Drosophila melanogaster: one gene and its partners. The protein of the gene in region 4 interacts with the protein of the main gene of each other region in a pairwise test. Each region holds a gene or a part of one and is shown on either strand. Other genes may lie near its edges. The genes, in order: MagR, GABA-B-R2, Tat and CG8907.

Region 1 (3,966 bases), on a different chromosome or scaffold from region 4:
CGCCATCTGCGACTGAGCCAATCCGTTGTGGAATCCCTGCTAAAGGCTCACCTGTACCTGTTCGAGTGCTATGATCGCTTCGGGCAATCGCTGGCCGAACGCTGCGATTGCCGTGGCTTCTTCGCTAGCTGCTCTGCATTGGTGGATCGACGGAAGTGTATTCGTGAGCTGTGTACCACCATCGTGAACACACGAAAGGGAGAAACTCATGCACCACTGCTTCATCTTTCGCATCGAACGTTGGCCGAGATTCAGCCTGCGTGGAGTGAGATCGGTGATTTGGACTGGTCGGCAATACGCCAATCGGATGCGCTTTCTTCCAGCGATTTTATCAATCCCGATCTTCAGCAGATGCGACGGCTAGTCAAGCGGATTGGCCGCTTATCCAGCCTTGAGGACATGCAGACCGCAATAAAGCGCTCCATGGAGCTGATTGAGTACCAGGTGTGGCTGCAGCTTTTTAGGGAGCCAAAGGACAGCGAAATTCACAAGGATTGCTACCTAATGCGCCACATGATCTGTGACACTTTATCGGAGGGCGGATCTACCGCTTGCACCGGCTTCCTGCACAATATCTTTCTGTTCGTATCGCAATCCGCCAATGAGATGAGATTCTGGGCCAGTATGGAGCATGTACGTCTGGCCGGCAGCCTTATTGCCTACCTAATCGACCATTGGAATCGCCACCTGCCCTACCTAGACTTGGATGAGATGCAATTGACCGCTGATGCACCAGTCACGGCTGTCTCGCAGCTGCCCGTGAACGAGGCCACATACATAACCTACCTGATGCTGGCCACCGGATCCATATGTCGCCGGCAGTTCGCCCAGCAGCTGCGTGCCCAACTACCCCCCAATTCCTGGACACATTTGCTGGAGCTGCTAAATAAAGTGGCATTCGTTTTCACTTAACTACACTACGAGTTTAATCATGTTTCGGCAAAAACTCGCAGTTGCCATCGGTCAGGCGAACCACCTTCTCGCCCTTCTCGGCCAGGATCTCCTCGATGTTGCGCTTGCCGTCCAGATCTGTGAACCAGTTCAGATTGTCGGCGATCAGGTGGTGATTGGAGCAGCCCTCGCAGGTCACGATAACAACGCCGCGTTGGTATGCCAGCTTCGAAATGGTCTTCATGTTCCGGGTCTGGCACACCTTGCAGGTGTAGATCAGCTGCATCTTGGCCTCCAGTTTCGCCAGAGGAATGCTATTCGTGGCCACCGTCTTGTCCGCATCGTCCTGGGAGCAGAGCAAAATAATTATACTTAACTTTTTTGTTATACATAATTTTAAATATTGCATTCCATTTATAATATTTTAAATTACAAATGTAAATAACATTATTTAATATCAATTGGGTAGTTTATTTGTATTTACAACTGATTTCCAAACATACCACTGGCTTACTGCAGTGTATACTGCGGCAAATGCACGTGTAGTTGTTGCTGCTGCTAAAAACAGCTGTTTGTGTTTTGGTTGCAAAGTGATGCACTTGCAACTGCAATTGTGGACTATTTAAAGCATCAATTTGTGTTCTTCGGGAACTGGTAAGTAGTGCGCCTCTTCTCACACCTGCGCTGATTTTATAAAATTTTTTTAGGGCGGACATATCCTCGATTTTGTTGATATTATTTAACTCAATCGAAAAGTGTGAAATTCATTTAAACTTAGAGATGGCACCTCCTTTCATTTCAAAACTAGTCGCGAGTCACGATTTTAAAAAGTTACTATAGCTGTCACTGGTGCTGATAAAATTTGCTGTAACTCACAGACATTAAAACCAATTGTTAATATAAATTCTACTGTGAAATATTAAGTTAAGTTATTAATGAAGTCCACCTGGACTCTGGGGCTTAAAAATAACTTATTTTTCAAACAGGTAGTAACCGTTTCTCCGCTATCCCGTGACACTGCCAATCGATGACATCTGTTAATGCCATCTCACGTGATACTATCGACAGTACTATCGACCATCTGGTAGTAAGCACTCATATTTTCGAATTTTTTTTGTGGAAATTCTCGAGTCAAACAAATTATATAAAGGGCACGAACCGATGGCGACACGTGTGGTGGCAACGGCGACAGTGCGGGCGGTGAAAGGCCGGAAGTTAATCCCGACGCGGGCCGCTCTGACTCTGGTAAGGAAACCAAAACCTGGTGAAATCGGCGCATGCTGCTGCTGATGAAGTAACAGTCCCCTTCGATCTGATGATTCTGATCTCCCCCAATCCTTTTCAGACACCCGCGGCGGTGCTACGCATCAAGACGCTTCTGCAGGACAAGCCGGACATGGTGAGTGACTGCTGACAAGTTGTCATCGAACCAAGGCTACACTTTAGTGGGCATTCTATCGCCTTCCACGATTGAGATCTTGATAATCTCGCCTAGCTCTTTAAAGGTTCCCGTGCATGTTATTTAAGTTTTAGCACTGGTTGCATGGAGTATAGGAAGTTCGCAAGAGGGCTTCTTCAAGCATTATATTTGACAATAGGCTTTTTCCTCAGTCAGTCATATATTTTAGCGCAAATTATTAGCTATAAATATAAGCCATGCTAACTAATTCGGCCTGCGTTAATCAGCTAGATTTTCCAAATTTTGACCCGACCAAATTTTGATGAGCATGTTTATCTTGTTGTTAATCATTTAGTTTTTAAGTGATTAAATTCTTTGAATTGAGACAGACTTATTAGAATACCGAGTTCTTTGTCTTTGGTCAATAAACAAGGCTGCCTATAAATTAGCCACACAGTTAATGACAGAAATTCGATGTTGTTTCTGCCACAGGTTGGCCTAAAGGTGGGCGTACGGCAGCGAGGATGCAATGGTCTGTCCTACACGCTGGACTATGCCAGCCAAAAAGGTAAGCCACTCTGGACAGAATGTTGTTCGGTGGAGATCTAATGCTGCGTTCTGTGTCGATTTTTGCCAGCAGACAAGTTGGATGAGGAGGTGGTCCAGGATGGCGTCAAGGTCTTCATCGACAAGAAAGCGCAGTTGTCGCTGCTGGGTAAGTTCATACCAGCTTAGCATAGCATTGGACAAGCCAGCTAATACAGAGTATAATTCGCTTGCAGGTACCGAGATGGACTTTGTGGAATCGAAGCTGTCCAGCGAGTTCGTGTTTAACAATCCGAACATTAAGGGCACATGCGGCTGCGGCGAATCGTTCAGCATGTAAACCGATGGAGATCCGGAGGAGATCCGCCGGCACCCGCCTCGCAGACAGACCTAAATTAACTAAGTTAAATGCAGTACGCGGCCCGACCTTGTATCTCATTACGTTGTTGGCAAAAGCACCGCATCCTTTGTAAATTTTACTTCGCAAACGAATTCTAAATATTAAGTTGTGTTCTATAGTTAAATTTTAGTTGTAGCGCTAGGTAAGTGACGCACCCGCTTCCTTGCCGCAGGCTGGCAGTTTGTCCTCTTTAGCCCTAGTTCAATATATAGACAAGGAATGTTCTAGAAAACCCATGTGCAAATCAAGTTTATTATTGAAAAAATACTTCGACTACGTGCATGTTACCGCTGATTGATACCCTGGAAACCGTACTCCTCGTAGTCGTCTTGCGTGTAAACAAACTCTTCAAAGTTGGGGCTGGTCGCAACCTCCTTGCCGCCGTACCACGCGTACCGCACCGGATCCTCGGGACAGATGAGTGACACTTCAAGATCGTCGGGCACCAGGGCACGTAAATCGCGCTTTAGGCGCGGCAGAAATCCCGGAAACTGGGCACTGCCGCCCACAATAAGGATGTTGAGCAGGAGTTCGCGGTGCGCTTCCCAGGGGCAAGCCTTCAGACAATCGGCCACCGCTTCCGGAATGCCCACCTGTTGCACACCAATGTCCGAGGGATTGAAGAGCAGCTCGGGCACGGTGAAACGTTCATTGCACAGCGACACCATTTGCTGTTGCTCCTCATCCTCGCGCGGCTTTCCGGGAACACGAACATAGCCCCGTTTGACGG
Region 2 (7,571 bases), 4.8 Mb from region 4:
TCGTTCGCCTGCGTGGGTCGCTGTGCCAGTTATATCCAGGTGGGTGTTGATATACTTGAAATATAAATTATAATTTGATATAATCTGATGACTTTAGGTTTCGGGCAGTAAGATCTGGCAAATGGAGCGTTCCTGCATGTGCTGCCAGGAGTCTGGTGAGCGGGAGGCAGCCGTCTCGCTATTCTGTCCCAAAGTGAAGCCCGGCGAGCGTAAATTCAAGAAGGTCCTGACCAAGGCGCCATTGGAGTGCATGTGTCGGCCATGCACTTCCATTGAGGAGTCTGGCATCATACCACAGGAAATTGCCGGCTATTCGGACGAGGGTCCACTCAACAATCACTTCCGGCGCATTGCTCTGCAATAGATTCCCCCATCAGTTTAGCACTCATACCCATGCCCATTTGCTCATTAAAATAAATTAGAGTTGCCGTTTCTGCTTGTACACAGTGAAAAATGTGCCTCTGAAAGCTCATGCCAGTGAAAGGGAAACATCAGCAGATATATGATTATTTTAAATTGTAATTTATTTCCCAACTATCTCATGTCATTGCTACTAGTTCACTAAATGGTGTGTGTCCTGCTTCACAGGGTATGTATGTAGATGCGTAACTCCAAAGAAAACAAAGATAATCTTTACACTGCAACTGGATCTAACAATAGGAGTTTAACTACGGCATAATGCATATGACTCGCGCCGCCTACAAGTACTCGACGATATCGCATTTGATGGATATATTCGGACAGCTCTGGCCCACGGCACTGCGGCCCCGATAGTTGGGACTCTTCTCGGTGAGGAGTTTCCGGAAGATGGGCAAAATTGCCGTCTCGCCCTCGAGCAGTTCCGTCTCGCTGCTGGCGCCGTAGATGCTGCTATCCTGCTTGCCGCGCTGCCTGCTCCGCTGCTTATCGGGCGCCACATTGGGCGAACTGTGGTGGTGGGCGGCGTGCTGGATGTTAGAGCTCCGGCTGACCTTACGCGGCTGGACGCACGGCTGACTGTTGGGCGGCGGATCTCGTTCCCGTTCGCTGTCCGTCTCGCTCTGGCAAACGGTGCCCTTTTGCGGTTTTGGCCGATGTTTGTTGCGGTTCTTCTCGGAGACGGACCGCTGGATGGGCGAGGTGGTGTTCGGGTCATAGGTCATCCCGTGGCCGCCATGATGTTCCGCACAGCGCTGCGGACTGGCGTAGTTCCGCGGCGACTGGCGCTGCTTGGCGTGCGACAGCGTGTGCGTGTCCCAGAGGTCACTCTGTGAAACCACGAAATTGGACTTCAGAGCGGAGCCCATGCTGGTGCGGCGATGGTCGGAGGCAGTGGGAGCTATTTTCGATTAGAAAATCGATAGTATTATAGTATTATAAGAGACGCGCAGAAAACTTACTCTTAATCACAGCCGGAGTACTGGGCTTTGAGTGTGGACACATGTTGCTCAACTCCGATTGCGATGTGGAGATGTTGGTGGAGGAGTTCCGGTGCGAGCTGCTGTACTTTGGCCGGGCGGTGGGCGTCTGGCTGCCACTGTCGTAGTGCCTGGAGGCGGTCGATTGACGCCTCTCCCGCATGCTGGAGCAGTCTCCTCCGCTCCGCTTGCCCGCCGTACTGGTGATGCTGCCTATATTATCATCGGTCTGAGCGGACACCGAGTTTCTCTTCTCCAGATGGCGATGATGATGCTGCTGCTGCTGCTGTTGCTGTTGCATCTGCTGGTGTTGCTGCTGCTGCAGGTGCTGCTGCTGCATCTGCTGATGTTGCTGTAAGTGCTGCTGCAGTTGCTGCTGGATGGGCTGCATCATAGTTGGAGCAGGGGCATGCGAGTGGTGCTCTACAATCGATTGCTTTTTCTTTTTGCTGTTGGAGAATATCCATAGATTAGAGTGTATTTAAGACCAAAATTTAAGAACTTACGGAGGAAGCGATGGCGCCATCACTGTAGACTGCACCGACACAAAGGAGTTATCCATCTCCACATGAGTCGAGGTCACACTATCCACGGACGTCATCTCGGTAACTTCTATGACAAACGGGTTGCAATGCATGAACATATCTACGAAATCCCCCTCCTTAGCCACTCACCTGTGGTGCTGGGCATCTCTCGACGCACCGGTGGAGCTGAGAGCCTAACAATGTCATCGTTCAGTATGGGCTCCAGTTCGCTACCGACGTTGGAGCCACCTGTGCAGGTCACCCCATCGATCCATTTGCGTGCCTCGGGTCCCAGCTTGCGGATTAAGGCCTGCAGCTCGTTCTCCTTCTCCATCAGCGCCTTTCGGAATCGGCAGTTTGTGTTCTTTACATCTCGCAATCGTTGCTCCAGTTCGCACACCGAGGAATCCCGGCGTCCGTTTTTGGACATGGGTCTCAACGTGGCCCTAACGCGTTTGTCCACCACGCCCTGGGGATTCCGCTTCAGCTCCACCAACTGCAAAACGATTCGCATGAATATTAACCAAAGATTATACTACGCGGTCAACATCTAGGAAGGATCAACTCTACGGACAGTAATATAGGATAGTTAAAGATATTCCAACAGCAAGGAAGTGGGATTTGCCTACAACCTTGCTGCTGCTCTTAGTGGGTTCTATATAGTTCAAGTTTATAGTTAGTCTGTAGTGTTATATAGCATTTTAAGATCTGTTTTCGAGTACATGTTGTTTCTGTATCAAGGTGTATCAACGCTAGACGAAAGATCAGCTCAGCTGGCGGTAAAGTACGATCAGTTAAGAAGCTCTAACCACAACTGATCGGCCTATTACCGCCGACAAACAACATTCATATTACACGATTATTATATGTAACATATAACAGCTACAAAAACTACAAAACTTCCTTACTACCAGTCTTACTTTCGGTACGAACACCAAACACAAAGTGGCTGTCGTACAAAAAATGATAAAAAACGAGAGTAAGACAAAAACTAAATCCTTTCGATCCGATAGCACCAGGGATATAGCCGCTCCGGCCAGACAAGTGATGAACACGTTATAAACGGAGAAACCAATATGCTTGGAATCGTTCAGAGCCGGTATAGAAACATGTCGAGTTTCCCAGGCCAAAAAGGCGCCAAAAACCTATTGAAAAAAATTATTGCTTTATTATAATGATATCTTACAAATTAATGTTTATTATATACTCACCAACAACAGTCCCTTGTAGGCATAAATAATGCTAACGAATATGGTCATGTGCTCAGACTGGCAGTACTCGTTTTCGGGGATCACCAAGACATCATCAATATTCTCGTGATGCTGTAGTTAATAATAATCATTTTAGATTTTTCACTTCAAATATGTTCTATCAATGCACTCACCAAGGGTTCCAACTGTTTAGTTTCGCGGTAAAAGGGATCGGCAATCTGCCAGGTGGTTATAATGGCTATATCAATGGCCAAAAGCACGCCCACAACCATAAACAATTGATAGTCCTTGATCACCTTCTTATTGAGCTTCAGATCGGTGAATATCGAATGCACCCGCCACGTCTTCGAGAACATGGCTCCAAAACTGAGACTGAATCCAGCCATCAAGATCCAGGCTCGAGCTGTGCAGATATAGGGAAAAGCTGCCACACTACTTAATGTGGTATCGAGACCCAGGAAAATGATGCTCAAATAGGTCATCATACAGCCCACAATGATCAGATTGTTCAAATGGGGACTGGACATCTTGATGTATCTATAAAAACATCAATATTTTATTAAACGAAATTGTTTAATATAGCATTGTTAAGCTCACCTTTGATTGCGATACTTAATGTTAAAGGCCAGAAAAACTGTGGCAATAATCACTCCAATGACCGAAGCACTAGCCGATACAATATATATGGTTGGATTGACCTGACTGTGCTCGATGTAGATCAAAGTGCGATCCTTGGGAGGAGTTTTCCCCACCCATTTGACTGGTTTTCCCAAGCTTAAATCCAAGTGTGACTTCTGTGAGTGGTATTCCCCGATCTTTTCCATTTGTCCCAGCTGAAACTGATTGATCAGGATGTTGGCCTTGCGCTCGTTGTTGTAGAAACGCACGGGTCCCTTGAGAATGTAAAATATGTTTTAACTGCAAAAACTGGATTGTTTATCTATCTACCGTCACACCCTCGAAGGATGTATTACGTAGAGCCTCAAGGAAGACACTCTCCCAGTCCTTCACGCGATAATCAAAATGTGTTAGCAGATCCTCTCGCTTTTCGGCCACATACTGAATGGCCAGGGCAGCTGCCCAGATACCATCGTAGGTATAGCCATGAAAGCGGGAATATTCAGTGCCTCGCAGTCTGTCGTACTCCACAAGATACTCATCAGCAGTCTAGTAAAATATGAAATTTATTACAAGAATTTTAATAGACTTTACTGGTACTAACAATGCCAGCCACTGTGATGTCACCACTGGTGGACAAGGGCAAAAGATCCACTAGAATGGCACCTTCCAAGGCTGTAGCGATCTCCTCCACACTGCACTCGCTGTCCTGCGTGACATTCCACCAATCCGTGGAATAGGTAGCCATGATCAGCCATTGATAGGCTCTGCCATACATATCCAATCTGGAAGGGAGTTTATTGCAATAATTTTAAATTGAGACTTAAGTTAGTATATCCAACTCACTTATAAGCCTCACAGAATGCCTTGCGTGCAAAGTGCTCGTTAAAGTTGCCCAGAATGATCCTCACGTCCTTCTCGCGCAGTTTCTTCAATGATTCAGCCACATCGTTGACGAAGCTCTGCGTTTCCACCACCTCGACCTCCATGGCATCCAGGTCAGCCACCATGTGATTGTGGGGCAGCGAATAGCGTGGCTCATTCTGGTAGACAGTGCCCACTCTGGTCCAATTGAACTCCTTCAGCAAGGCCAGTCGCGGCGCATTAAAGGCATTCTCCGAGGGTACCACGCGAAAGAAATTCGGAAACGCATCCTTGGTGAACATGGGATGGGTGTCCGCGTAGCTGAGCTGGGTGAGGTGCCAGTGCTTGCTGGCCTTGGCTATGGGATCGGTCACATGGGTGCACGCAGCGCCGAAGAGCATCACTTTATTGGGACCCGAATGCATCATATCGAAGAAGGACTTTACGCCCACAGCAGCATTGCACTGGAAAGGAAACCAAAATTACATTCCAGAATATATGGAAATATGCATAGGTAAAGGTGTGATATTACAATATGAACCAATGAACATTAAAAAAAATACCTAATTGAACTTTAAAAACCACAAGTCCATCATCAGAGATTCACTTAATGAAATCTTCAAGCTAAACCCTAACTCACCTGAGTGTCGTTCCACCACATGTGCAGCCTGTAGTTGGCCAGTATCTTTCCATGCTCATTAACGTGACCCAAGGCGAGCTTTACACTGGGCATAACGCCCCGACCGGTGTAGGAGTTTTCCACGCCATCCCCGTACGGGAAGAATCCCGCTATGTAGACGTCCGATCTCTTGGCTGTCCTGCCACAGGCGGTGCTCCAAAGGAGCAGGAACAGCAGGCTGGCGAATGGAAACCAACTTGGCCGGAACATGTTGACCGCGTGGGCTGTAAAACGATTCTAAATGTGAATAGCGCATATCGAGGACGTGAACTTGGAGCCAAGTTGTGGGTGGTGAATGGCAGTGGTTGGTTTCGGGTGAGCCAAGGCTGCCGAGGCAAGGCTGCGCCCAGTGGGTGTGTATTATTTTCTACGTTCTACCTGTGTTTGCTGGCACTCGCATGCAATTTTACAGGACAGGTGGAGCAAGGCTAAGGCCAGTCCAGGCCAGCAAAATTGCTTCAAATTGCTGCAGCAATGCTGGCACGTTTAGTAATTATAAAGCAATTTAATGATCTAAAGGATTCGTGCATTATTTAGTATGCTCGTTAACGCGAAGGAGTATCTTCCAGGTGTTGCATCCTCTTAAATCTTATGTGTACATGTTTTTAGGAACCTACCAGCTTGCTTAGTCCCAGAACTGGCTTTTATTTCACTACCGATGCCATTTGAAACACTTATTTTACATCAAATCTCAGCCAACGAAGAACTTTTGCAGTGCGAGGGTCCGAAAAATTATGTATCCCCCTGACTTGACATTTGTCTGACAGGAGGAATTCGAGGCAGGAAGTGCGCATGTCCTTAAACCGAAAGCTGTCACTGCTCCGCCTTGGCCTAGGCTTTCCAACCCCCGTAATTACCATAAACCCACTGCGCTTGTAAACATCCTGCAACAGGTGGTCCCATCAGCTGGTACTCCGGCAATTGTTGTGCCCGTTGCCATGGACTACTGGGGTCGAAAAACGAAGTAGATAACTGCTCGGAAAATTACCAAATTGAAAATTGTGAGTAACCATAATGGAGGACTATGCGCCCAGCCGCTATAAAATGCTTGAGAAAATCGGCGAAGGCGTCCATGGCTGCGTGTTTAAGGCCATCGATCTGCAGCGCAACAAGGAGGTGGCCATCAAGAAGGTGGCCCTTAAGAACAAGTTCGGAAACATAGCCCTAAATACTTTGAGGGAAATCAAGACCCTGCAGCTTTGCAAGTCTGAATATGTAGGTATACCATATATCTATTTTCCATTTGTTAATTATGTAACTAATTGTAGATTCTGGACATCATTGATATATATCCTGACCTAACTGGTCTCTCCTTGGTGCTGGAATACCAGCCGGACACTCTGTACAACCGCCTCAAGAGCGAGGTTAATCCCCTGAGCCGCCAGCAGGTGCGTAAGTTTGCACACCAAATGTTCAAGGGGATTGCATATCTGCATGAAGCGGGTCTCATGCACCGGGATATTAAACCCGCCAATCTGCTTATCAGCGATACAGATATGCTTAAGATTGCCGATTTCGGACTGGCCCGTCTGTACTTCCCTGAAGACGAGTCGCGCCTTTATTCGCCTCAGGTCTCAACCCGGTGGTATCGAGCGCCAGAGATTCTATTTGGCAGCCAGAAGTATGGAACCGGAGTGGATATGTGGGCGGCAGGTTAGCCATGACTCTTTGATGGGTTTACATATATCCTTATGGCTGACATTATTGCTATCCAGGTTGTGTTGTGGCGGAGATGCTACGCGGAGTGCCCCTGTTTGCGGGAACCACCGACATCGAGCAATTAGCCATCATCATTCGCACTCTGGGCAGCCCACGTCTGAATCAGTGGCCAGAGCTGACTTCTCTGCCGGATTACAGCAAGATACGGTAGGCATTCTTACCGTCTATGATTACTTAATCCGTAATATTCTTGACGTAGGTTTCCCAACTCCGTGGGCATTCACTGGGACAACTTGTTTCCCAGCTGCACACATGCGGTGGAAATCAATCTGGTCTCGAATCTGGTGGTCTACAATCCCAAAAACCGACTCAAGGCCAGCGAGGTGGGTTCTGCTTCAAGTTTGACACCGGTTAGGTATTATAATTGGTAAATTCTATATTTCTCAGGCCGTCGAGCATGATTATTTTCATTAATCTAGGACTATTTACACGGACATTGCTAGCAACTAAGAGTTTTCGGATTCTTTGAATCTGCAAGGTAGAATGTGTGTGATTAGTTGTGGAAGTGAAGGAATATGTTTATCAGGACACCTACTTGCACTTAAGGCAGGTAAAGAAC
Region 3 (6,199 bases), on a different chromosome or scaffold from region 4:
CCTATTCCTGTCCGGGGATCAGAGTCAAAATGACCGGAATCTCCGCTCCGTGATTCTGAGAAATTGCGTTGTCATCGTCAACAGGTGTGCTTGGCCAGTTTATCTAGCCGATCTAGTTGATCGGGTTCAGATACAGATATATCCTATAGTCGCTTATGCATATGCAATTATTCAAATCGATGGGATTACATCTATGGACTTGGTATCGCAGTGCATTCCACGTTTGTCCAGATGTGCATTTAGCGGACACTTTCGAATTAATTGTTAAATGCGCCGTGAGTTTTTTTTTTATTTTCCCACTATTTTTTTTTTTTTAAATTTATTGTTCTACGATCTTGAACAGATTTTTTGTCCGAGTTACTTTAGTTTTGAACTCTGTACTTTCACCTTTCAAAAGATTTAATCGTTAAGTCTGAGTTGTTATTAAATTTAACAAGGATTTTTAAAATCCTCACAAAGTAAATCAACTTAAATAGACTACAAAAAGAGCACAAACTCATATTTAAATTATATCAACTTGGCATGTAAATATTTCTATAAACGTAGCAATTATCTTGTGCGGAAAAATAGATTTGTTTGCCATCAACCAGATTTGCAATTTGTTTACAAGTAACTTATATTTTTAAATTTAAATATCATTTAGCTGAGTAACGGGTATGTGATAGTCGTTCTCTTTTGTTTTAAAGTAGAAATATTGCAGAAACAAATGAAAATAACTTATTTATTTATTATCACAAAATGCATGAAATTATTGAATCTATAATATGTGTGCAGGATTGTTGTGGTAACTTTCTGGTATTCTATTGATAATTTTTGTGGGAAGTTGATACAATAATAGGTAGCAAATAGCAACATTTTTCCGAAAGCAATACTCGAGTTTAGCCAGTTTATTAGTGATTCGGATCGATGACCGCTGAGATCGGAGAACAGGAAAATCTTACAGATACATTGTGTCTCTAGCCAACTATATTATGGGTTGATTGGCACGTGGTTTAGTGGGTGGAAAGGTGGTGGTCGGTTGGATCGGTGGATCGACCGACCACACGATATGCATTAATGGTAATGGTTTTGGTTGGTTGGTTGATTGGATGCTCGGTTGGTGTTTCAAATTGGCCCAAGATTATATATTATATTATAGACAACTTTGGCGCATTTAAATGAATATCGATGCGATGCGGCGGCGGCGGCGCCTGTTGTTGTTTATATCAAATCAAATCAAAACGAATCGTATCGAACTAAAATCTGGTTCCGAGTATGAATATGATTTCGAACCGGCGGGTATTCAAATCAGTCGACGCCCCCTATGTTGTTGTTATTTCAGTCTTTCGATCGGCCCTCTCGGCTCGAACCGAAGCCAAAGTCAGGCGCGTGATAACCGGCGATGTTAGTGTATGGGCTATATATACCCAGATATGCGTATATATGTATATGGATGTCTATATGGAGAGCCTATATAGCAATCGACTAAACGAAGTCGGCCGGAGGCGATAAAAGCCCCAAGATATCGCCGAAGTAGATCAGTTTAGCACAGAATTCGCAAACGACTTGAAAGTACTAGCCCATATCAACCATATACCGTGTATCCAAAGGGAATCCAACGAAAACAAGAATCGTCTGTCCAACACAGTGATTGACCAAAGATCACAGCTCTAATGCTCGTCTGGAACGATAAACAGGATACAAATTTTTCATTCATTTGAGCAGAGTGCTCCATTTGCCAGAAATCGGGACCGGAGACATCGTCGTAATCAAAAATATTAGCAATATTTGTTTGTGCTTTTTTTTTGTTTTTGTTTATTTTGATTCGATTTGGTTTGGTTTGGTTTGGCTATTCGATTTTCTTTCGTTGAATCGGGAAAAGGGCCGGCCTGGTGATAATGCCCAGCAGTTTTGCCAACGAGAGTCAGTTCCGATACCAGAGCAGCCGCAATCGTGCCAGCTGCACAAGCCGGAGTCCCAGCGAGCCGGAATCCCCGGCGCCGGTGACGCCCAATTGCGATGTAGTCGATCAGGCGCTGGCCGAGCTGCAGCTCCAATCGCAGGACATACGCAAGCAACAGGACCTGGTGGACACCACAGCCACGAGCAGCAGCAGCCGAAAGCGTTCCGGATGGGAGATAAAGGGCTCCAAGCTATCCCTTAACACGCACAATCGCATTCGGAACATTGTCGAGTCGCTAAAGATCAAACCGAATCCGGAGAAGCCCATGATACCGCTGTCCATTGGTGAGCACCATAAATATATAAATTAACTAATATATATCTAAAGAGTAAAAGTTCTAAAAACTGTACGTATATAATCAGTTTTCTTTTAAAATATGGTACTTAGTATATTTCTTGTATAGATTCATTTTAGATATTTAAAGTTGACATCTTAAACTTTCAAGTTCTTAAAACTTATAGGGCTTTTTATATAAACCTTATAAATTATTATTAGTTTGTCTGCAAATTACTGATTCTTGAATTTCCTTTGACGCAGAACTTACATATGTGTTTGAAAAATCTATCTTAAAAGCTTTTCCTCTTCAGAATTCTCAGAAGTATGCTATGCATTTAGCATGTATGTATAATGTATATTTACATTATCAGGATTTCGCCTTCTATTTACTATATATGCATTAATCTGAAAAGTACGCCTTTAATAGTGGCTAAAAGCAATGATTTGAAATATCCAAAATTTGCAAATTATAGAAAAATATTTGAGCAGGTAGTGCTAACTATCCAGTTTCGTGGGAAACCTGCTCCTCATTTCACCATATCCCCATAACACCTCTGACGTTTTTGCTACAAGTTTTTGGGCCAAATTTGAATATTTCTGATGTGCGATCTCTTTTGCTCTTGCCGTTTTATAAATATATATATATATATATTTATATCTTAGTTTTTTTTTTATTTTTGGCAGCTGAGTTGTCCCAAACTTGATAAAACTAGCTTTATGAACCCAATGAATTCGGTTTCATTGTGAACTAAAGCGATCCATTGGTCATACACACCCACAAAATCGGGCCAATCAGAGATCGGTGCTTCGGCTATAATGCTTATAAGTCGTTATATAAGTTGGGACATTGGACTTCCCTGAAATGTTAGAGCTCAATGGGAATTCGGGCTTACTGGCTTTCTGGCTTAGGAAATTTACAGAGAAGCTAATTTTGCCGATTGTCGCGAGTTTCTAAATTTGTGCTAAAATATGCCAGATACCAGATATATAAAATCTGTAAAGCTGTTGTTGTTTCGATTGTTGTTGTTCTTGTTCTTGTATATAATTTAATTGTTTTTTTTTTGTTTTGTTTTTAGTAATATCGTATTATTTTTGTAGCGAGGCACGCGCACTGTATTTGTGTTTTGTGGGGCATTTGCATAAAATGTAGTTCCACCTGTTTGACAAAGTCGAGAATCCATTCGAATCGAATCGAATCGAATGGAATGGAATCGAACTCGGGATCTGAGCCAGATTATACTGCTGCTGCTTGCTTAGCCATCGGAATCGGGAATCGAAGTTAGCCGGAAACGAACGAGTTAGCCATTGACCCAATGCAATCAGAGATTCGGATGCGAAGTCGCCTGATTTTTATTTTTTTAACACCATTTTGCATTCCGTTTCCAAAAATAAATGCACTTTATTCCATAAATTAGGCAATTCACTGATGGAATATTTTCTGTATTATTTTATTAGCTTAAAGGTTATTTTATATTATAGATTATATATTTTAAATGCATTTTGAAACTTGCTTTTCTCAACCAGGTGATCCCACAACCTTTGGCAATCTAAAAGCCGCCGATGAGACAATGAAGGCGGTGCTGCATTCCCTGGAGAGCGGCAAGTACAATGGGTATGCCAGCACCCAGGGTCACGAGATAGCCCGCAAAGCGGTGGCCAAATACAGTGCCCACCAGCGTCCCGACGGAGAGATCGATGCCAACGAGGTGGTGCTGTGCAGCGGCTGCTCCTCCGCCTTGGAGTACTGCATCCTGGCGCTGGCGGATCGTGGTCAGAATGTTCTGGTGCCGCGACCGGGTTTCTGTTTGTACTATACGCTGGCCCAGGGCTTGGATATCGAGGTGCGCTACTACGATCTTCTGCCCGATCAGCAGTGGCGCGCCGATCTCGTTCAGCTAGAGAGCCTGATCGATGAGAACACCGCCGCCCTTTTGATCAACAATCCGAGCAATCCCTGTGGCAGCGTCTTCGATGAGAAGCATCTGCGCGAGTTGATAGCCATCTGCGAACGCCACTATCTGCCCATCATTGCCGATGAGGTGAGTGACCCTTAAATCGAGCACACATGAAATAATTGAATTGAATTGCCTTTGCTTTCGTTGCAGATCTATGAGCACTTTGTGTTCCCCGGCTCCAAGCACTTGGCCGTGAGCAGCCTGACCACGGAGGTTCCAGTTCTCTCCTGTGGCGGGTTGACCAAACGCTTCCTGGTTCCCGGTTGGCGAATGGGTTGGATCATAGTGCACGATCGCAAGAATCGTTTGCGCGATGCCATTGTCGGTCTAAAGAACATGTGTGGTCGCATTCTGGGCTCCAATACCATCATTCAGGGTGCCCTGCCCGATATCCTGACCAAGACACCGCAGTCTTATTTTGACGGCGTGATTGATGTGCTCCACGTAAGTTTATCATTTGTAATTATCAGCTTAATGGATAATTATTATATGATTATTTTTATCCCACAGTCGAATGCCATGCTGGCCTACAAGATGCTGAAACAGGTGCGTGGCCTCGATCCCGTAATGCCCAATGGAGCCATGTACATGATGATAGGCGTGAGCATCGAACGCTTCCCGGAATTCAAGGACGACACCCACTTTGTCCAGGAGATGGTGAATGAGCAGAGTGTCTTCTGTCTGCCGGGCAGCTGCTTTGAGTACCCGGGATACGTGCGGATCGTACTTACTGTGCCCGGGGCAATGATCGAGGAGGCGTGCTCCAGGATTGCCGAGTTCTGCGATCGCCACTACAAAAAGGAGTCGCGCAATTTCATTGAGCACGGACTGCTCGACTGCGATGATGTGGCCTTTTGAGCTGGGAGCAAAACATTTATTAGATATTCTAGACTACAATTTTTATCAAGTGTACATAAGTGTATGTATGTATATATACTATATATATATATATATCAATCATTTTAACTATCCAATATAAGGAGTATTGTCTCAAAAAATTGCTGGAAAAGTAAAGCGCGTCACACACAGATAGATAGAGTTTAGAAAGAGCGAGTAAACTGCGGCTAAGTAAATGGTCATTATGGAGGACTTCTGAATATAAATATATATAATATAAATTTATATATATATATATAGGCCTATATTTGAGCTATCTGGCGCTGTAGGCTGGCTGGGGTTCTGTGCAAAAAATGTTAAACTTGGTGAAAGTAGTGCTCCTTTGGAACAGGATATGATATGATGATGCCTTCTTGCTAGTTACAATTATTTCTATTAGTTTCAAATAAATTTTCTGGCAGCCTTTATCTAACGTGTGATTTCAATTTAAAAATGCTGAACATTTTCGCATAAATTGGATTTAGATGTGTGTAATGAATGATATTTGTATGTATATTCGTTGTAAGAAATTTTAAAATGTTGCTTAATGGGCTGTGAAACGTAATTAGAATGCTGTTGAGTGTTGTGAAGTGTAATTGAATGGTCCCCACATTTCAGCATTCAACAGCACTGTTAATGCCAAAAAAAAAAAAATATATATTAAATTCTAGCTAAGGGGTCTTACAAATTTCTGAAACTCTGGGACAAATCCTGTTGATTGTGGAGTGTGTGTGTGTTTTTGAACGAGGACCTGAGCACGAGAACCCAATCCCACCTACAGGCTAACCGGGAGAGGGGCATCCTTTTGCCTCTACATGTGGTGCGGATGCATTTTCTTCTCCATTTCGGTCTCCACGCGGGCCTCATCGATTCCGGCAACAGTGGGCAGACCACCTGGCCAGTGGAGCAGCTCCTGCTCGTGTTCCATAATCATGTTCGCCTCCGCTACAATTGATGTAATCATCGGATAGGTTTGTATAAGATATCATCCTTCTAATGGCACTTAATCAAACAATCCTATCCCAGACCCACCTTGAATGCGATGCATCTTGCTGCCGTACGCCCAGTCCGTATAGTAACCCACGACGAAGGTGAGCGGCAGGAGCGGAGCCAGCGCGGATACCCTCCTGACCCTCTGGTAGTAACTGGC
Region 4 (5,814 bases):
TTTGTCTAAGGGAACATCGAATTACAGGTAGAATTACATGACATAGACATGAATTTACAGATCAATTGTGTCTGGTTGACACTTTTGATAACTCTCAATTCAGAAGCGGATCGTTAAAGTCACGCAATATTACTATACTCAAAGTTGTTGCAGAAAGTGTTGCGGACAGTGCGGTACGTGTATTTCCATTTTCAACAATTCCCATTTTCAACTGTAATGAGGGTCGCTTTTTTCTGTTATTACGTGAAGTAGTAGTCATTAAAAGGCAAGAATGTCACAATTTGCTCCAATAAAAGTTATTGGCCAATAAACGAATAAAATAGTTACCCCAGACCCTAAGCATGATTGTTTTAAAGCTCTTTATTTATGATGAAGGACTTTCTTAAGTTAGGAATGATTCATAGGCAACATACAAAATACATGATATGATAATACGAGTAGAATAAGATATAAAGTAAGTTGTATGTAGATTTAATTGATCGAAATTATGCGCGCACGTCATGACATAAGTAATTTTCATTTCCGTTTTTTGAAAAATAGTCATCAAGACGTTTTTAATGATTTCTGTAAAGATTAAAACAACCATAGAGATGCATTTTTGCGATATAAAACTTATACTTAAGTTTTATTCAAGAACACTTTCACTTTTTCGCCAATCAATAATAAGCTATTTAAGTAATGTGTTAATGGAACTTAAAGAAATTCCTAGTAATTACTATCTTTAATTGAAAGTAAGATTTGTTGTTGGTAACAGGGTCAACTGCTGACCATTTCATACGATCCCACAGTGGGCCGATATCAAAATCAAGGCCCAAGGGTAGCAGACTCTCTCATAAGGAATGGTATTCGTATTTGTATTTGTTGCTCTGCTTCCAGATAAGATTGAAAAAGTGCCTATGAGCACCAAGAGATAAGGCACACTTTTGCTTTTGCGATAACGCACCATCGCAATTTCAGGCAATCAATTAATGAGCCAGCTGATATCGCCGATTCCCATTCCCTTTGGGCCAGCCAACGTCAGTTAGTTGGAGTTGGAATTCGATTCACAGCGGGTCGAGAGTTGTAGATCGGGTCGAGAAAAAAGAGCAAATAAATAAATAAAGAGCACAGTGGGCAGCACACAAGGTAACCAATCCATCGGTTCTTCTAAGCCCGTAAATCAACATACCAACGATATGTCTCAGACATCTGTATCTTAGGATCTGATGTCATGCCAGTGAAAGCAATAAATAAATCTCGAAACACGGCGGTAAATAATTGACCCACAATCACGGCCTAAAAATACGCGATTAACTCTTATATTCGAGTCCTTATGTAATAAGCTGCCATTAACGATTGCTTCATGAGCGAAGAATTTCCTGGCTTGTGATAACTGCAAAACAGAAATAAAGTAACGCCAGCAAACTGAAAAAGCAAAGCAATCGCAAACACAGTGCCAATTGCGTTTATCTAATCGGACAGGTAGCTACCACACAGGTGAAATAGGTACTCTCCTATGTACATATGTACACCTATGTACTTCTAAATGCAAAGGTATCTAATGGTAGCCATCTATCTGATTCGCATTGCCCATTGGGAATCAATAGTTTACCAGAACGCTTTGATTACACACCGCCGCAATGGTCAAAGCAGGCAATAGGACCCTGAAATACTTCCGACCCATTTCGGTCAAGTATGGGTAAATATCAAATATCAAGCGTGATAGACAGGAGGCTATCTCATAGATTGAAGCATTGCCAACACCTGTCTATCATATACCCGTATACTTAAAGTGCCACTTTGGAAATTTTCGGTGTTTTACTGTTTATGTTAGCATAACATTCAAACAAAGAGATCTTTTCGTCCTTGATCTGCATTTATAGTGTAAAAGATGCAGAACAAGATAGAAAATTCTTTACTATTGAACTATTAAAGTTTAACCTATTTTCCTTGTATTAAAAAGTGTAAGAGCAACTATTACTCATCGTCAATTACCTCTATGTCATGCATTAGTTGCAATGTAGTGTTATCAACAAAACAAAAAGAAGGGCAAAGAATTGCGCAGTTCATATTCTACAATATGTGCGCCTGAATGCCAAACTTTACATGGAAACAACCAATAAGTGATAAAAAAAAAAAAAACTATAGTTATTTGGAATGCCCATTTCCCTATTTCTCAGGATGCCACAAAACGGCTACGAAAATGGAGTCCCTGGCGGGAATCAGGCAAATGGGCACTACGACGAGGTCAAGCCCACCTATGCCCTGGAGCACTTGGCCACCTTTAAGCTGAAGAACGAGGCTGAGGTCAAGCAGCCGAAGGAGAAGATGAAGCTTCTGGTCGAATTGGAAAAGACCGGGGGCATTTGGCCGCACAAGATGTTCATGAGCTTCAATGGGCAGTGGCTGGTGATGCTGGACAGTGATATGAAGGAGATTGAGAACTTTCCGGGGAGCCTGATCACGGAGCCCACGGCTTTTATAAGCGATCATCCGCAGGAGTCATTCAACAATATCCTCATTTTCTCAGTGCCCGGAATCTCACTGGGCAATACCGAAATGCACATCTTCCAGGTGAGCAGCCACGATTTTTCAGCACTTTGAGATCTGTAATAATTAGATCATTAATAGGTGGCCGATGTCAGTTCCGTGCTCTTGGTTGAGGATCTAAAGACGGTGAGTTGAGTTGAATAAATAGATCCCCGATCTATATAATCCCAATACCACGATTTCTCAGCTAAGCAAGGGAACCCCTGTGACAGTGGATCGCAACAAGACGCCCATCCTGCTGCCCAAGCCGGAGAGGCCGCAGAACCAGCAGGCCAAGGATCAGTATGGAATAGCAGCTGCTGTGGCCGGAATAGCAGCCGAGAAGAATGCCATAGACAAGGAGCAGACCGAGAGGGATGTCCAGGTGATAAACCACTGCTTCGAGGACATCGAGCGGTTCATGGCCCGTCTTCATTATGCCGCCGAGGCGCTTAACGAGCTAAAGTTGCGCAAGGAACAGCATAATCCCCACGGTGAGGGACTTTTGGTCCTGAGATCGCGACCACCAATCGAGAGCGAGTTCCATGACATTTTGGCCAAGGCGAAACTGGCCCTTATATACTCCGTTCGGCTGCAGAACCAATTCACCAAGCCCGCCGATCCGGTGCACAATGTCTTCATATCGCTTAAATCCATCGTCACGGTTTGCAACGATATCTACGTGGATGCGGGTCTGCCGCAGGCGGTACTTAATCCCCTCCTGCGCCGTGAGACCATTGCCTTCCTCAATGGCACCCTCGACTCCAACGAGATGCAGCTGTGGCAGAGCCTCGGTCCCAACTGGACGGTTCCCAAGGATCAGTTCAAGGATCACAAGAGCTCTTATCATCCGATCTTCTACGACGATTGGTCTCCCGATTGGGTGGTCGATGAGGAGGTGCCGTACCTGGCTCCTGCTCTAAAAAAGAGCACAACGCCTTCGCCAGTGCCGGTTCCCATGCCCCCGAGTCCAGGTCTAGGAAATCGCACCTGGCTGAGTAGATTGGAGAGCCGAAATGTCAAGATCGCCGAGGTTACCTTCAATAAGTCGGCCACCAACGATAAGGAACTAAAGGTTACAAAGGGAGAGTATTTGGAGGTAAGTACCTAATAATAATCGAAAGGGGTTTTAATGTCAGTTCTTATCATTCAGATCTTTTAGCCAAATTTATCCCAATTTCAAGTTCCTTTAATTAAGATTTGCACAACATTTAAAACGACTTGCTTTTTTAATCGTTCGCTGACGTATGAATGTATGTAAGAGGCAATTATTTTGGGTTACAATACAGTTTTGTAAATATATAGGAATGTCCACGTGTGAGAACTGAATGATTTGAAATCTTATAAGGCACAGGTCTTTTACTTTTATATTAATCTTTTGTTTTGGAATGTTACTGATATAAAAAAGCTTTAGATAAGTATTGGTTGTGAAGATATGAAAATTCATTGCCGGTAATATATATGATTCAATAATTTTAAATTCAGGCATTTGAGATGTCTTACCAATGAGAGGTCAGTAACACTATATCAATACAAAAACTTTGAATGCAATTACTAAACATTGATTATATTTTTAACTTTATACCATGTTTACTATACATGGTACCAATCTTATCGATTCCCCAATTACGCGATCTTACCTTCATATCACCATGATAACAGACCTTATAATAACTATCATATAAATCGTCTGATTCCAAGATTATCGATGACTCCCGCAACTGGTGGAAGGCCCGTAACTCGTACGGAAACATTGGCTACGTGCCGCACACAGTGCTCACGCCGTACAACTTTGAGCCCGGAGTAAATGGCCGGGACACGGAGTCGCTGGCCTCAATGGCTTTGACGGAGAACGGCGGCGAGGAGGCCATTCCTCCTCCGCTGTACCGCAACACAATGGCCATGTATACCGCTCCCGTGGAGCAGCCGGCGGCCAATGGCAAGGCCATGCAGCGCACCTTCTCGATGCCCAACGTGCCCGTTCCACCACCGATGCCTCCACCGAGCGATAGCCAAACGCCCACGCCCAGTGGCACACTCAAACGCAACATGGCGGCGGCAGGAGCACTAGCAGGTGGGTACACTAGTAAATTAAAAAAAATAATACAATATAATAATGATATTTGTATTTATCTCATTCGCTTACCAGCCATGCGGGCCCGCAATGATTGCGAGGCAGATGATCAGCTCTACTACATGCAGGGCGACGTGCATGATGAACTGCGTCTACTGCAGCAGCAGCGAGAGAGGCGCAAGGACCTCGAGATCCTTAAGACGCCGGAAATCTTCATCACCCAGAATTCAAAGCCAAGCGAGGTGGAGGAGTGGCTGCGGGGCAAGGGATTCTCGGACATCATTATCAAACGATTGCACACGCTATCCGGCGAGGAGATCTTCGCCCTATCACCGCACACCATCGAAAGTTACTTTGGCCGGCGGGAGAGTCGCCGCCTCATTTCCCAGATCGTGCTGCAAAAGAATTTCTGCGAGGTGAGTTCTTGGACATATCCTCACCTTATCTAATCTAATCGAATCCATTCCAATATCCAATTTTGCAGTACAAAACCATTCGATCATCGGAGCTTTCTGCCAAACTGGCACGTGCTCGCCAAAAGGCCGATCAGTCCAATGGCAATCCCAACGAGGTCTTCTAAGACTCCCAGTATCCCGAGTTTTTTAGCCGGAGACCAGAGAGACAAAAATGCTTCAGATGCCATTAATTTATTTATGTGTAATAATCCTTCATTTATGTTAAACAGTGTTCATACGTATATTAAAAAAAAAAAAAGACAAAAATGGGTTTGATTTATATGCATTTAGTGTTAACATCTCGAATTGATTATAAATGTAATATAGATACTTTATTTAAACACAAATATTTATGAAGTGAAGAAATCATATGATTTCCTGTTTAGAAACTTAACTTCCCTAAACTCAAAAGTGGTATGGCATGATTAATTAGGCAAGAATATGTTTATCATTACAGGAAACTTTGAGAACTGGTTATGGAACAGTCCTAATGAAACGCTTATTGGTTAACCCAGATACCTTATATGTCGAACTCCAGTTCGAATTGCAGACTTCAATCAAAAGACTTACGAAATAGCCGAAATGAATTGGTTTTTTCAATAAACACGATGTTCAATGTTATGAAGAAGTAATAGACGTCGATTAAGAGTAATAAGTGATAATCTTCATAAATTCTGCTTCGTGAGTGCATCCTAAAAGTCAAGTAAGTGGGCGTTTCAAACCGGTAGGGGCGTGGCGTGTTATTTACCTTTTTTGTGAACACATTGCGGGGGAAAT

Evidence for each region.
Region 1: the proteins of CG8907 (region 4) and MagR interact in a two-hybrid assay, tested with the Drosophila melanogaster proteins (one large-scale study listed by BioGRID).
Region 2: the proteins of CG8907 (region 4) and GABA-B-R2 interact in a two-hybrid assay, tested with the Drosophila melanogaster proteins (one large-scale study listed by BioGRID).
Region 3: the proteins of CG8907 (region 4) and Tat interact in a two-hybrid assay, tested with the Drosophila melanogaster proteins (one large-scale study listed by BioGRID).

Annotation. Positions count from the first base shown.
Region 1 is NC_004354.4:15,732,317-15,736,282, forward strand, and holds MagR (magnetic receptor), read left to right. Parts: upstream 1-1,953; 5' UTR 1,954-2,052; coding exon 2,053-2,136; intron 2,137-2,236; coding exon 2,237-2,290; intron 2,291-2,782; coding exon 2,783-2,858; intron 2,859-2,927; coding exon 2,928-3,005; intron 3,006-3,072; coding exon 3,073-3,176; 3' UTR 3,177-3,464; downstream 3,465-3,966. Other genes in the region: CG8191 (uncharacterized protein), read left to right, coding at 1-912; CG12379 (uncharacterized protein), read right to left, coding at 926-1,237, 1,395-1,607; Arp6 (Actin-related protein 6), read right to left, coding at 3,521-3,966. UniProt on the Drosophila melanogaster protein: Involved in the assembly of mitochondrial iron-sulfur proteins. Probably involved in the binding of an intermediate of Fe/S cluster assembly. Required for maintenance of circadian rhythms under constant darkness.
Region 2 is NT_033777.3:21,769,831-21,777,401, forward strand, and holds GABA-B-R2 (metabotropic GABA-B receptor subtype 2), read right to left. Parts: upstream 6,011-7,571; 5' UTR 5,911-6,010; intron 5,518-5,910; 5' UTR 5,504-5,517; coding exon 5,255-5,503; intron 5,079-5,254; coding exon 4,597-5,078; intron 4,536-4,596; coding exon 4,355-4,535; intron 4,300-4,354; coding exon 4,081-4,299; intron 4,026-4,080; coding exon 3,730-4,025; intron 3,670-3,729; coding exon 3,306-3,669; intron 3,244-3,305; coding exon 3,133-3,243; intron 3,067-3,132; coding exon 2,830-3,066; intron 2,418-2,829; coding exon 2,072-2,417; intron 2,010-2,071; coding exon of another isoform or gene 2,007-2,009; coding exon 1,904-2,006; intron 1,847-1,903; coding exon 1,380-1,846; intron 1,319-1,379; coding exon 699-1,318; 3' UTR 503-698; downstream 1-502. Other genes in the region: Burs (bursicon), read left to right, coding at 1-39, 98-364; CG6800 (uncharacterized protein), read left to right, coding at 6,308-6,508, 6,562-6,946, 7,009-7,159, 7,212-7,383; Polr1H (RNA polymerase I subunit H), read right to left, coding at 7,459-7,483, 7,548-7,571.
Region 3 is NC_004354.4:14,259,708-14,265,906, forward strand, and holds Tat (tyrosine aminotransferase), read left to right. Parts: upstream 1-1,515; 5' UTR 1,516-1,652; coding exon of another isoform or gene 1,653-1,700; 5' UTR 1,701-1,877; coding exon 1,878-2,226; intron 2,227-3,742; coding exon 3,743-4,257; intron 4,258-4,323; coding exon 4,324-4,617; intron 4,618-4,683; coding exon 4,684-5,031; 3' UTR 5,032-5,672; downstream 5,673-6,199. Other genes in the region: CG13404 (uncharacterized protein), read right to left, coding at 5,861-5,994, 6,082-6,199.
Region 4 is NT_033777.3:17,007,251-17,013,064, forward strand, and holds CG8907 (uncharacterized protein), read left to right. Parts: upstream 1-1,579; 5' UTR 1,580-1,619; coding exon 1,620-1,678; intron 1,679-2,159; coding exon 2,160-2,553; intron 2,554-2,610; coding exon 2,611-2,655; intron 2,656-2,716; coding exon 2,717-3,607; intron 3,608-4,209; coding exon 4,210-4,582; intron 4,583-4,657; coding exon 4,658-4,998; intron 4,999-5,066; coding exon 5,067-5,162; 3' UTR 5,163-5,283; downstream 5,284-5,814.